Linked DNA regions of Ovis aries. The main gene of each other region encodes a partner of the protein of the gene in region 2 in a complex. Links are inferred from orthologs where the notes say so. Each region holds a gene or a part of one and is shown on either strand. Other genes may lie near its edges.

The links.
Region 1: SMARCA5 (region 2) and RSF1 share a complex: the UniProt entries of both Homo sapiens proteins name them as parts of the RSF-5 ISWI chromatin-remodeling complex. The link is inferred for Ovis aries from reciprocal best matches to the Homo sapiens genes SMARCA5 and RSF1.
Region 3: SMARCA5 (region 2) and DEK share a complex: the UniProt entries of both Homo sapiens proteins name them as parts of the B-WICH complex. The link is inferred for Ovis aries from reciprocal best matches to the Homo sapiens genes SMARCA5 and DEK.

What each region holds. Positions count from the first base shown.
Region 1 is NC_056074.1:15,888,829-15,892,482, forward strand, and holds part of RSF1 (remodeling and spacing factor 1), read left to right. Parts: intron 1-2,694; coding exon 2,695-3,654. UniProt on the Homo sapiens protein: Regulatory subunit of the ATP-dependent RSF-1 and RSF-5 ISWI chromatin-remodeling complexes, which form ordered nucleosome arrays on chromatin and facilitate access to DNA during DNA-templated processes such as DNA replication, transcription, and repair.
Region 2 is NC_056070.1:14,432,492-14,436,145, reverse strand, and holds part of SMARCA5 (SWI/SNF-related matrix-associated actin-dependent regulator of chromatin subfamily A member 5), read left to right. Parts: coding exon 1-70; intron 71-257; coding exon 258-377; intron 378-1,177; coding exon 1,178-1,288; intron 1,289-1,619; coding exon 1,620-1,733; intron 1,734-1,913; coding exon 1,914-2,036; intron 2,037-2,786; coding exon 2,787-2,919; intron 2,920-3,654. UniProt on the Homo sapiens protein: ATPase that possesses intrinsic ATP-dependent nucleosome-remodeling activity.
Region 3 is NC_056073.1:38,630,302-38,633,955, forward strand, and holds part of DEK (protein DEK), read left to right. Parts: intron 1-339; coding exon 340-460; intron 461-3,654. UniProt on the Homo sapiens protein: Involved in chromatin organization.

The DNA.
Region 1 (3,654 bases), on a different chromosome or scaffold from region 2:
AACACCAACTCCCAGAGTTCACTCAGACTCACGTCCATTGAGTTGGTGATGCTATCCAGCCATCTCATCCTCTGTCGTCCCCTTCTCCTCCTGCCCCCAATCCCTCCCAGCATCAGAGTCTTTTCCAATGAGTCAACTCTTCGCATGAGGTGGCCAAAGTACTGGAGTTTCAGCTTTAGCATCATTCCTTCCAAAGAAATCCCAGGGCTGATCTCCTTCAGAATGGACTGGTTGGATCTCCTTACAGTCCAAGGGACTCTCAAGAGTCTTCTCCAACACCACAGTTCAAAAGCATCAATTCTTCGGCACTCAGCTTTCTTCACAGTCCAACTCTTACATCCATACATGACTACTCGAAAGACCATAGCCTTGACTAGATGGACCTCTGTTGGCAACGTAATATCTCTGGTTTTGAATATACTATCTAGATTGGTCATAACTTTCCTTCCAAGGAGTAAGCATCTTTTAATTTCATGGCTGCAATCACCGTCTGCAGTAAGTCTGACACTGTTTCCACTGTTTCCCCATCTATTGCCATGAAGTGATGGGACCAGATGCCATGATCTTCGTTTTCTGAATGTTGAGCTTTAAGCCAACTTTTTCACTCTCCTCTTTCACTTTCATCAAGAAGGTTTTTAGTTCCTCTTCACTTTCTGCCATAAGGGTGGTGTCATCTGCATATCTGAGGTTATTGATATTTCTCCCGGCAATCTTGATTCCAGCTTGTGCTTCTTCCAGCCCAGTGTTTCTCATGATGTGCTCTGCATAGAAATTAAATAAGCAGGTTGACAATATACAGCCTTGACATACTCCTTTTCCTATTTGGAACCAGTCTGTTGTTCCATGTCCAGTTCTAACTGTTGCTTCCTGACCTGCATATAGGTTTCTCAAGAGGCAGGTCAAGTGGTTTGGTATTCCCATCTCTTTCAGAATTTTCCACAGTTGCTTGCTATTCACATAGTCAAAAGCTTTGGCATAGTCAGTAAAGCAGAAATAGATGTTCTGGAACTCTCTTGCTTTTTTGATGATCCATCTGATGTTGGCAATTTGATCTCTGGTTCCTCTGCCTTTTCTAAAACCAGCTTGAACATCTGGAATTTCACAGTTCACATATTGCTGAAGCCTGGCTTGGAGAATTTTGAGCATTACCTTACTAGTGTGTGAGATGAGTGCAATTGTGCAGAAGTTTGAGCATTCTTTGGCATTGCCTTTCTTTGGGATTGGAATGAAAAGTGGCCTTTTCCAGTCCTGTGGCCACTGCTGAGTATTCCAAATTTGCTGGCATATTGAATGCAGCACTTTCACAGCATCATCTTTCAGGATTTGAAATAGCTCAACTGGAATTCCATCACCTCCACTAACTTTGTTCGTAGTGATGCTTTCTAAGGCCCACTTGACTTCACATTCCAGGATGTCTGGCTCTAGGTGAGTGATCACACCATCGTGATAATCTGGGTTTTGAAGCTCTTTTTTGTACAGTTCTTGTGTGTATTCTTGCCACTTCTTAATATCTTCTGCTTCTGTTAGGTCCATAACAGAATCATTTAGGTCCATAAGAAGGACCATTTTTGTCATTTATCAAGCCCATCTTTGCATGAAATGTTCTCTTGGTATCTCTAATTTTCTTGAAGAGCTCTCTAGTCTTTCCCATTCTGTTGTTTTCCTCTAATTCTTTGCATTGATCACTGAGGAAGGCTTTCTTATCTGTCCTTGCTATTCTTATAGGTAAAATTAGTACTTAATGAATTCTGAAAACATGGCTCAGATTCCCTTAGCACAATTTTAAAACATATATGCCTTGTCTGTAATCTCATTCAAAGATTATGGTATATACTAAATATGACTTTCGTTATACTTAAATTTGCACTGTTAGGTACTCTGTAAAAGTTGTAAATATTAGCCAGTAAGGTAAAAAGAGGAGTTAACAGGTAAACATAGTTTCTTTGTAATATATTACATTCTAAAATGTTTATTGATGGCATTTGATAAAGTAAATTGTAATATAATCACAGTAAGGAGTGTTACACAGTTAAGACCAATTCTCTGAAGACATTTCATGAATGTCATAAGAAAATGCTAATGTTTCAGTGAGGACAATGGGGCAGCATGATTCCAACTTTGTCAAAAACACATAAAACTAGAAGAAGTAACCTCAAATAAAATACTAATTGTAGGTATTCAGATTGTGGGCATATTTTCCTTTTTCTGCACAGAATTGTTACTTTTGTAACCTGATTAAAACATAAAACATTTCCACACTGCCTTTTTCATGTTTTCTCAATGAAATGAAGTGCTCCATAACTTGCAGAGAACAGTTGTCAGTTTTTAAAACAAATATGGTCTTTTGGAAATGTTTTATTATGATGTATTCTTAGTTTCGTAGTTTTGAGCCATCACTTGAGCTTGAATAAATTATTTGAGCTGTATAAATATTTGCATTTCATTGAGAGCATTGAAGTTAAAAGTATAAAGCAGAAATCTTTCTAAATGACAGTTTTTTAATGTCTAAACATTGTACTTCCGAGCTTTGTATTTTCTTTACTGTCTGCTTTCATCTTTTATTGTCAAATGTCCCGTGACAATAGCCACCTCTTCTAAGAGAGAAACTTCAAATGGAAATATTTTTTATGTTATGCCTTATACATTTCATAATCTTGAATGCTTAGATTCATGTAAACTTTTTCTTATTTTTAGAGGAACAGAAAGGAAGTGCAAAAACTAAAAGTGAAGAGCGGCCAATAGATTCAGAAAAATGTTCTACACCCAGTCCTCTAGAAGGGACTACTGTGAAAATAGAAAAAGAAAGTGAAAAGGAACTTGGAAAACTGCCAGTCATAGTGAAGCTGGAAAAATCTGTGCCAGAAAGCGAAGAAAAAAAGATTATCAAAGAAGAAAGTGATTCCTTCAAGGAAAATGTCAAACCTGTAAAAGTGGAAATGAAAGAATGTAAAGCAGATCCTAGAGATATCAAAGGTAGTGTGGAGAAATTAGAGCCTGAGAGGCTAGACTTTGTTGGCAATGTTAAATCTTCTCAAGAAATTACTGAAAAGTCTACTGAAGAAACCGAGAAACTTAAAAATGACCAGCAGGCCAAGATTCCACTAAAAAAACGAGAAATTAAACTGAGTGATGATTTTGATAGTCCAATCAAAGGACCTTTGTGTAAATCAGTTACTCCAACAAAAGAGTTTCTGAAAGATGAAATAAAGCAAGAGGAAGAGACTTGTAAAAGGATCTCTACAATCACTGCTTTGGGTCATGAAGGGAAACAGCTGGTAAATGGAGAAGTTAGTGATGAAAAGGTAACTCCACATTTTAAAACAGAACAGATGGAGACAAAGTTTTATGATACAAAGGAAGATAGTTGCAGCCCCTCTAAGGATAGAAGTGTCATCATGGAGGGAAATGGAGCAGAGTCTGTTAATTCTGTCATTGCAAGTGTAAAAATAGGTGATCTTGAGAAAGAAGTGGTCCCTTTAGGGAAAGATACAGATAATTCAGTATCAGTCTTAGAGACCCAGAGTCAGAAAGAGCACATAGAGGAAACTGGTCCTTCAGAAATGGAAACCTCTCTTGAGACTGCAGAAATAGCAAAGGATCTCTCTTTAAAAACTGCTTTATCTACCACTGAATCCTATAGTATGAGAGTTGAAG
Region 2 (3,654 bases):
ATTTGCTTCAAAGGAGAGTGAGATTACTGATGAGGATATTGATGGTATTTTGGAAAGAGGTGCAAAGAAGGTGAGATGCAGATTAAATGATTATTTCTAGTATATAAAATACTTTAAACCAGAACTGAGGAAATAGCTAAGTTACACTTTTACTTCCAAAGAAGTTATGTACCATAAAGTCCAGTTCATTTTGACTATAGTTCTTGTGCCTTTATAGAATTCTCAAATCTAAAAAGATGTTTCTTTTGTTTCCTTAGACTGCAGAGATGAATGAAAAGCTCTCCAAGATGGGTGAAAGCTCACTTAGAAATTTTACAATGGATACAGAGTCGAGCGTTTATAACTTTGAAGGAGAAGATTACAGAGAAAAACAGAAGGTAATTTAGAAAAGAGATTTTGGTTATTTTAAGACTTACTATTTTACTTGAAAATTGGAATTTAAGTCTTAGGTGTGATGCCTTATCTCAAACAGCAGTCATTTCTGTTTACTCACGTCTGAATTATTTTCATTTTTGTGTTAAATTTAATGCCAAATTTTCAGTTGGTAAATGCTGAAATGTTTTAAAAATTTATGTATACTGTTAACAGTAAAGTATATTGTGTGGGGTGATTATAGTAATTAGGGATATTTGGAAATTAAAACTATTGCCAAAAGTAAAATTTGTCACAACATTATTAGATTTTTTTTTTCCCCTAAGCAGAATTGGCTATTAATAATTAAAGGGATGAACTTGCTAATTTCTAGATTGCTATTTCCTTCCTAATTAGTATTATATAGTGAAATTAGAAAATACCTGCAGGGCAGAAGGAAAATAATTCTACCTAATGATTTCCATTTTAACATTTAGACATTTATATCCTCTGAATTTTTTCTAGTCTAAATATTTATCTACATTTCTCTCCTAATTTTAGTTCTAGCATACCATCTGTAGCATTTCTTTTTTCACCCAATTATCATTAATTTGGTCAGGAAATAGTTACTGAATGTTTTATGCTATTCACTAGACATCCTCTTGTGTGTTAATTGCATTAGTCCCTAGCCTCATATAGTCTAGGGTGTTATGAATATCTGCATTTATAAATAAGTCATATTGATGTAACAGTAGGAGTCGCATTCATGTAAGATTTGTGGCTCTATAATAAAAGTTGGTGATTTGAACTGTTTCCCATGGGCTAGATTGCATTCACAGAGTGGATTGAGCCTCCTAAACGAGAAAGAAAAGCCAACTATGCTGTCGATGCCTATTTCAGGGAAGCTCTTCGCGTCAGTGAACCAAAAGCACCCAAGGTGAGTTGATAGAGCACAAATATCTAAAAATACTGGAAATGCAAATTATTTTTCTTCTTATATTCTTGCAGTAAAATCAGATTGAGAATTAAATTTTGTGTGGTTTCTTCCAGTATACCTCCTTCAGCTTTTGTTGAAAGTTTCTAAAAGTTAATTTTAAATGTAAGCATTTAAAATTTGCTTGATGTTTGTTAAATTTTATGGAAGATGCATTCAGTTGCTTGGAGAATTGACTGTCATGGTTTTATCGAGTGCAAAAAGATTTCAGATAGATTTAAAGCAAAATAGGTTTGTTTTTGTTTGTTTTTACAAACAGTGCTTTTTTTTTTAGGCTCCTCGACCTCCAAAACAACCCAATGTTCAGGATTTCCAGTTCTTTCCTCCACGTCTATTTGAATTATTGGAAAAAGAAATTCTGTATTACAGAAAAACAATTGGTTATAAGGTAACAGAAGTAAAACTTTGTAACTAATCTCATTTGTTTTAACTTACTAAATGCATGATATCATATATTTTCTTGGATTAAAACTTGTAAAATTTCATGTGGTTGGTTAAGAGTTTAGTTCATCACATATTTCCTGAAATATATTGACTGATGACATAGAAAAAATATGTATATTTTTAGGTCCCTCGAAATCCTGACCTACCAAATGCAGCACAGGCACAGAAGGAAGAACAGCTTAAAATTGATGAAGCTGAACCCCTTAATGATGAAGAGTTAGAGGAAAAAGAGAAGCTTCTGACGCAGGTACAGCTTTCAATCAAAACCAGGTTTAGTAATGGTTATTTTGTAAGGTACCCCGTTAGGTTCTGTGGGGATAAACAAAAGAAGTAAAGGTTTTGCTTTCAGAAGTGGAATGATTGGAGATGATGAAGCATGGGCATATGGGTGTACGCTGTGTTGTGATTGTCATTAGTTGTGGAGGTAGAAGAGAAGAGGATAGATTTGCACCAAGTCTATTGTTGTAGAGTCAGTATCTTTGATCACCTTTCTTCCAGTGCTCCCACCTTCCCTTTCCTGTGGATCTTCTCATTTTTACTATGTCGTCATTCTCAATTACAAGTATCTGCTTGGTACTTTTTTAAAACATCCTTTAGGATTCAGTCAAGGCCTTTGAGAATCTAGCTTTAACCTACCTTTAAAGCTTTATTATTACTTTGTTTTGCCGCTTGGTTTAGATGTTTGCTCTTTACGTTCATTCTGCCTCTCTATGTCCATTCCTCCTGACAATTTCTCCTTGAAAGCGCAGTGAAAATGTCACTTTGTTGTGCAGCGTTTTTCACTCTCCCACTCAGACTTAGTTGCTTGGCTGTCTGAGTAATGTATATGATGTATTGCCAGAGTGCACATCTATGTATATGAATAGTTACCACTTTAAGATAACTTAGAACTCAGAGCAACTGAAATTTTTCTATAATACTTAGCAAGATTGGTAAAGTTTTAATAGCTTTTCCCCCAAGCTCAGTGATTGTATGCTTTGTTTCCTTTGCTTTGAAGGGATTTACCAATTGGAATAAGAGAGATTTTAACCAGTTTATCAAAGCTAATGAGAAGTGGGGTCGTGATGATATTGAAAATATAGCAAGAGAAGTAGAGGGAAAAACTCCAGAAGAAGTCATTGAATACTCAGGTACTTCTATTATGTTAGTAGGTGTAAGAATGTTCTCAGGCTTCTGGAGGGCTGTTGGAAAGTTGAGATTTTCTTACTCTGAATGATGTATTTGTTTTCTTAATTAAAAAAAAATTTTTGGCCATACATGTGGCACGTGGGCTTCCCTGGTGGCTCAGATGGTAAAGAATCTGCCTGCAGTGCGGAAGACCTAGGTTCGATCCCTGGGTTGGGAAGATCTCCTGGAGGAGGGCATGGCAGCTCACTCTAGTATTCTTGCCTGGAGAATCACCATGGGCAGAGGAGCCTGCGGGCTACAGTCCACGGGTCACACAGAGGCAGACACAACGGAGAGACTAAGCACAGCACACACGTGGCATATGGAGTCTTAGCTCCCTGGCCAGGGATTGAACCCACACCTCCTGGGCCGGAAGCATAGAGTCTTACCCTCTCACCAGGAAAGTCCGTGAACGATGTTTTGATAAACTAAAATTTGCCACAACTTAGTATCTGTTTTGTTTTTTAAAAATTCAGTTGGAAAAGCTCCCCTTCTTTAAAATGGCATCATTAATTTTTCTTTTTTTACCCTTGTTAACTAACTGTAACCAAGAAAACAAGAATAGGTCACTGAATAATTGTGCTTTCTTTTTACTTCATTTCACTTGATAACTTTTACAAATACTATATAATTCTGTGTTTCTTGAAGTCTGTTGGGTTGACAAGTGGATATGTGTAGTTGTGCTCTGGTGATTGCTG
Region 3 (3,654 bases), on a different chromosome or scaffold from region 2:
GTAGTATTTAATCACCAGCCACAAGAATTAACAAGTTTGTGAATTTTAAGTAATGAAAAATTTTACATAATTTTCTAGTGAATGAAGTAAGTTTTTTCTTACACCACAATTAAAACTTAAATGGTAAATGATGTTTTCTGTTTACAGTAGTACCTGGCTATATTTTGTGCATGCCCCAGTCAGGATTATTGGGAGTGCTTCTAAGATTCACAGAAACACTGGCTGCTTGCTTAATGTTTGTGGCTGAGCCAGTTGGGTTAGCTCTTATCTTTATATTGTGGAGAATGTTTATAAATTTTCCTATGTAATCACATTGGCTTTTTCCGTTTTCTGTTTCAGATTTAGAAATGCCATGTTAAAGAGCATCTGCGAGGTTCTTGACTTGGAGAGATCGGGTGTAAATAGTGAACTGGTGAAAAGGATCTTGAATTTTTTAATGCATCCAAAGCCTTCTGGCAAAGTGAGGATCAATTCTTACTATTTCAGTAACAAATCAATTCTTTTTAGCTTCTCCTTTCTCTCTTTTTTTTTTAATGAACATTTTAATAGTTAGCAACATTGCTATCAATATTCAGTAATATCTTCTACATTCAAAGAATTTGCCTTTGGTTGACATACACGCAACAATTTTGATAGAGAAAACAGAGAAGGCATACAGATGTGTTCTCCCTTATCAAGCATAAAGGATGTAAGATTAAGAAAGATAGATAATTGTTACCTAAATGTCAAATGGGACAGAAATACAAAGAATCCACAGTTACGTATCTAGAAGACACTTGAACAGAAATAGGGCTGAGGAGGAACTGTTGGGCTGGTGAGGGAGGGTGTACAGCCTGTAATCAGATCCAGAAAGACAAGGTAGTGTGCTCGAGCCAGAGATTTACTAGATACTGGAATAAGGTGATGAAAAGGGGGTGAAAAAAGCTGGCTTTTTGAAGTTTCTTAGGTTGGGTTTCCAGAAACATCAAGAGAGCCCAGGAGCTGGACAGGGGAGTGAAATGGTCTTATGGTTTTTGCCATTATTCTAAAATCTGGATTCAGTTCAGTAACTCAGTCCGACTCTTTGCGACCCCATGAACTGCAGCCCGCCAGGCCTCCCTGTCCATCACCAACTCCCGGAGTTTACCCAAACTCATGTCCATTAGTCGGTGATGCCACCCAACCATCTCATCCTCTGTTGTCCCCTTCTCCCGCCTTCAGCCTTTCCCACCATCAGAGTCTTTTCCAGTGAGTCAGCTCTTCGCATCAGGTGGCCAAAGTATTAGTTTCAGCTTCAAATCTGGATTAGATTTGCCCAAATTGTTTAACAGTAGCAAAGGACATCACTGAATTGAAGTGTTATTTATCTGAACTTGCCTTTTCAGCTTAAGTCTTGTAGCAGTTATTTTCATATATTCTCATAGTAATGGGAAAGAATTGAGAAGAGATCTAGAAGGCCTAAGAGCTCAGAGTCCATTAGTGAGGAGAGAAGGGCGTTAAGATTAGAAAACTGGGAAATAACTCTGGGACTTTTATTTTTGCCTGCTCTTGGTCCTGTTGCTATTAGCTGGACAGTGATCCCTAAGGATATTTTTGTCATGTAGCTACAAATTGAAGAGGTGATGGGGATGGAATTCTCACTGGTTTATCTAAAAGATGAGTTTGAACACTGTTTCCCCAGAAGCAGTTACTAAGCTGCCTGAATTATGAGGAATGTGTTTAATTCAGTTTTCCCTCAGTGGTTTTCAAATGTATTTAGCTTCAAGACCCTATCACTCTCTTAAAGTTAGTGAGGACCTCTAGAGCTTTTGTTTTATGTGAGTTATTTTGATATTGGGTAATGGTGACTTAGTCCCTAAATCGTGTCTGACTCTTTGTGACCCCATAGATGATAGCCCACCAGGCTCCTCTGTCCATGGGATTTCCCAGGCAAGAATGCTGGAATGGGTTGCCATTTCCTTCTCCAGGGGATCTTCCTACCCCAGGGACTGAACTCAGGTCTCCTTAGTTGCAGACAGATTCTTAGAGACTGAGCCACCAGGGAAGCCCATTTTGATATACACTGTATTCTAAATTAAAACTGAAAAATTCTAAAATAGCAACAGGCCCACTGCATGTTAACAAAAGTAATATTTTGTCTGAAAAAGAGCTGTAGTTTCCAAAATTTTAATGAGAAGAATGACATTCTGTTTTTGCAGATCTGTTTGTGTCTTGACTTAGGACAGATCTATTCTCATTTGCTTCTGCATTTCCTTCTGTTGCAATAATGTATTGTTTTGCTTGAAGTATAAGAAAAAATAATCCAACTTCACACAGCTATGTAGTTAGAAAAAGGGGGGATATTTTAAAAAGCCTTTCCAGTAATTTTGGATAGTCTCCTTTGATACAGCAGTAAACCTCCATAGTTGGGGGGGCAGAGTCTTAAAGGTTAGCTGTAATGTAGTATCTAAAATCATGCTGATAAACTTGGATCTTTTACCTGTGTGTGGTTTTCTGATAGGTACCCTCCATTTGGAAAATAGTGATTCCCTGAATTACGCATATCTTCCAAATGTTAGCACATTTCACTGTCAAAAAACGACATTCATTAACATAACTATTATCAGGGGGGAAAGAATCTTCAAGTACTGGGAGGCTGTCAGGCCCATGATAGTGGAGGTGAACTTTCCAAAATTTAATTTTCACTTGAAACTTTGAAATTTATCATTGGAAACAAGTGCTGTCGGTTTGGGGTGTTTTGGGTTTTTTTTTGAGGTGACAGACTCACATTCATTTTTCAGAATATGTCTTTCAAATACGAAGTTTGAATAAGCATCATTTTTCAATTATCCTTTTAAAAATAATGTTCCAGAGAAAAACGTAGCTAACTTTGCAACCCCGTGAACTCTAGCAGCCCACCAGGCTCCTCTGTCCATGGTATTTCCCAGGCATTTTCACTGCTCAGTTGCACAAATGCTTTTCATCAAGAAAATCCGTGAACTTCCTCCTGGAGCCAGAGTACTGTATGTGAACCTCCCATTTTGTTGTACGGATGTTTTGAAGATGTGCTCAGAGGTTAGGTTGAGAGTCAACATCAAGGACTAGTGTGTGGTTGGTTATGAGGTGGTGAGGAGTGAAATGACTACAAACCCAAGTTTCTGCCTCAGGCTCCATGAGGTATCAGTAGGTTTGCCTACCTTTGTTGCTTAAGCAATCACTACAAATGTCAGGGCAGTGAAAAGAGCAAATAAATACTCTCTTGGTATTACTGTGAAAATAGTTCTGACCTTTAGGGCTTTGGGGAAGGTCTCAGGAAACTCTGGGGTCCATGAGCCATACTTTGAGAACCATTGTTTTATCTTTTTTTTAACGATGTCTTATTCTAATATCCATTTTTCATATCTGATTCTGTGTTGATTACTCCTTAATCTAATGGTATCGATCTCAGGCTATTTTCTATGCTACCATCTGCTTCCATCATTTAAGGAAAACACTATAAAGTCATAAGTATTCATCTTTTCTGCTCTAGAATAGTCTTAGAGGTGCTTGAAAGGGTTGATTTAACATTGTTTTACTCTCCTTTTGTACTTCTATCTTGTTTGTTAGGTTTTGTTCCTCAAAGGGATGGATGCTCTTGACACTGGTTTCCGATGAATATATTCAACTATTTTTAGAACCTCTAAGGCACTTATATAT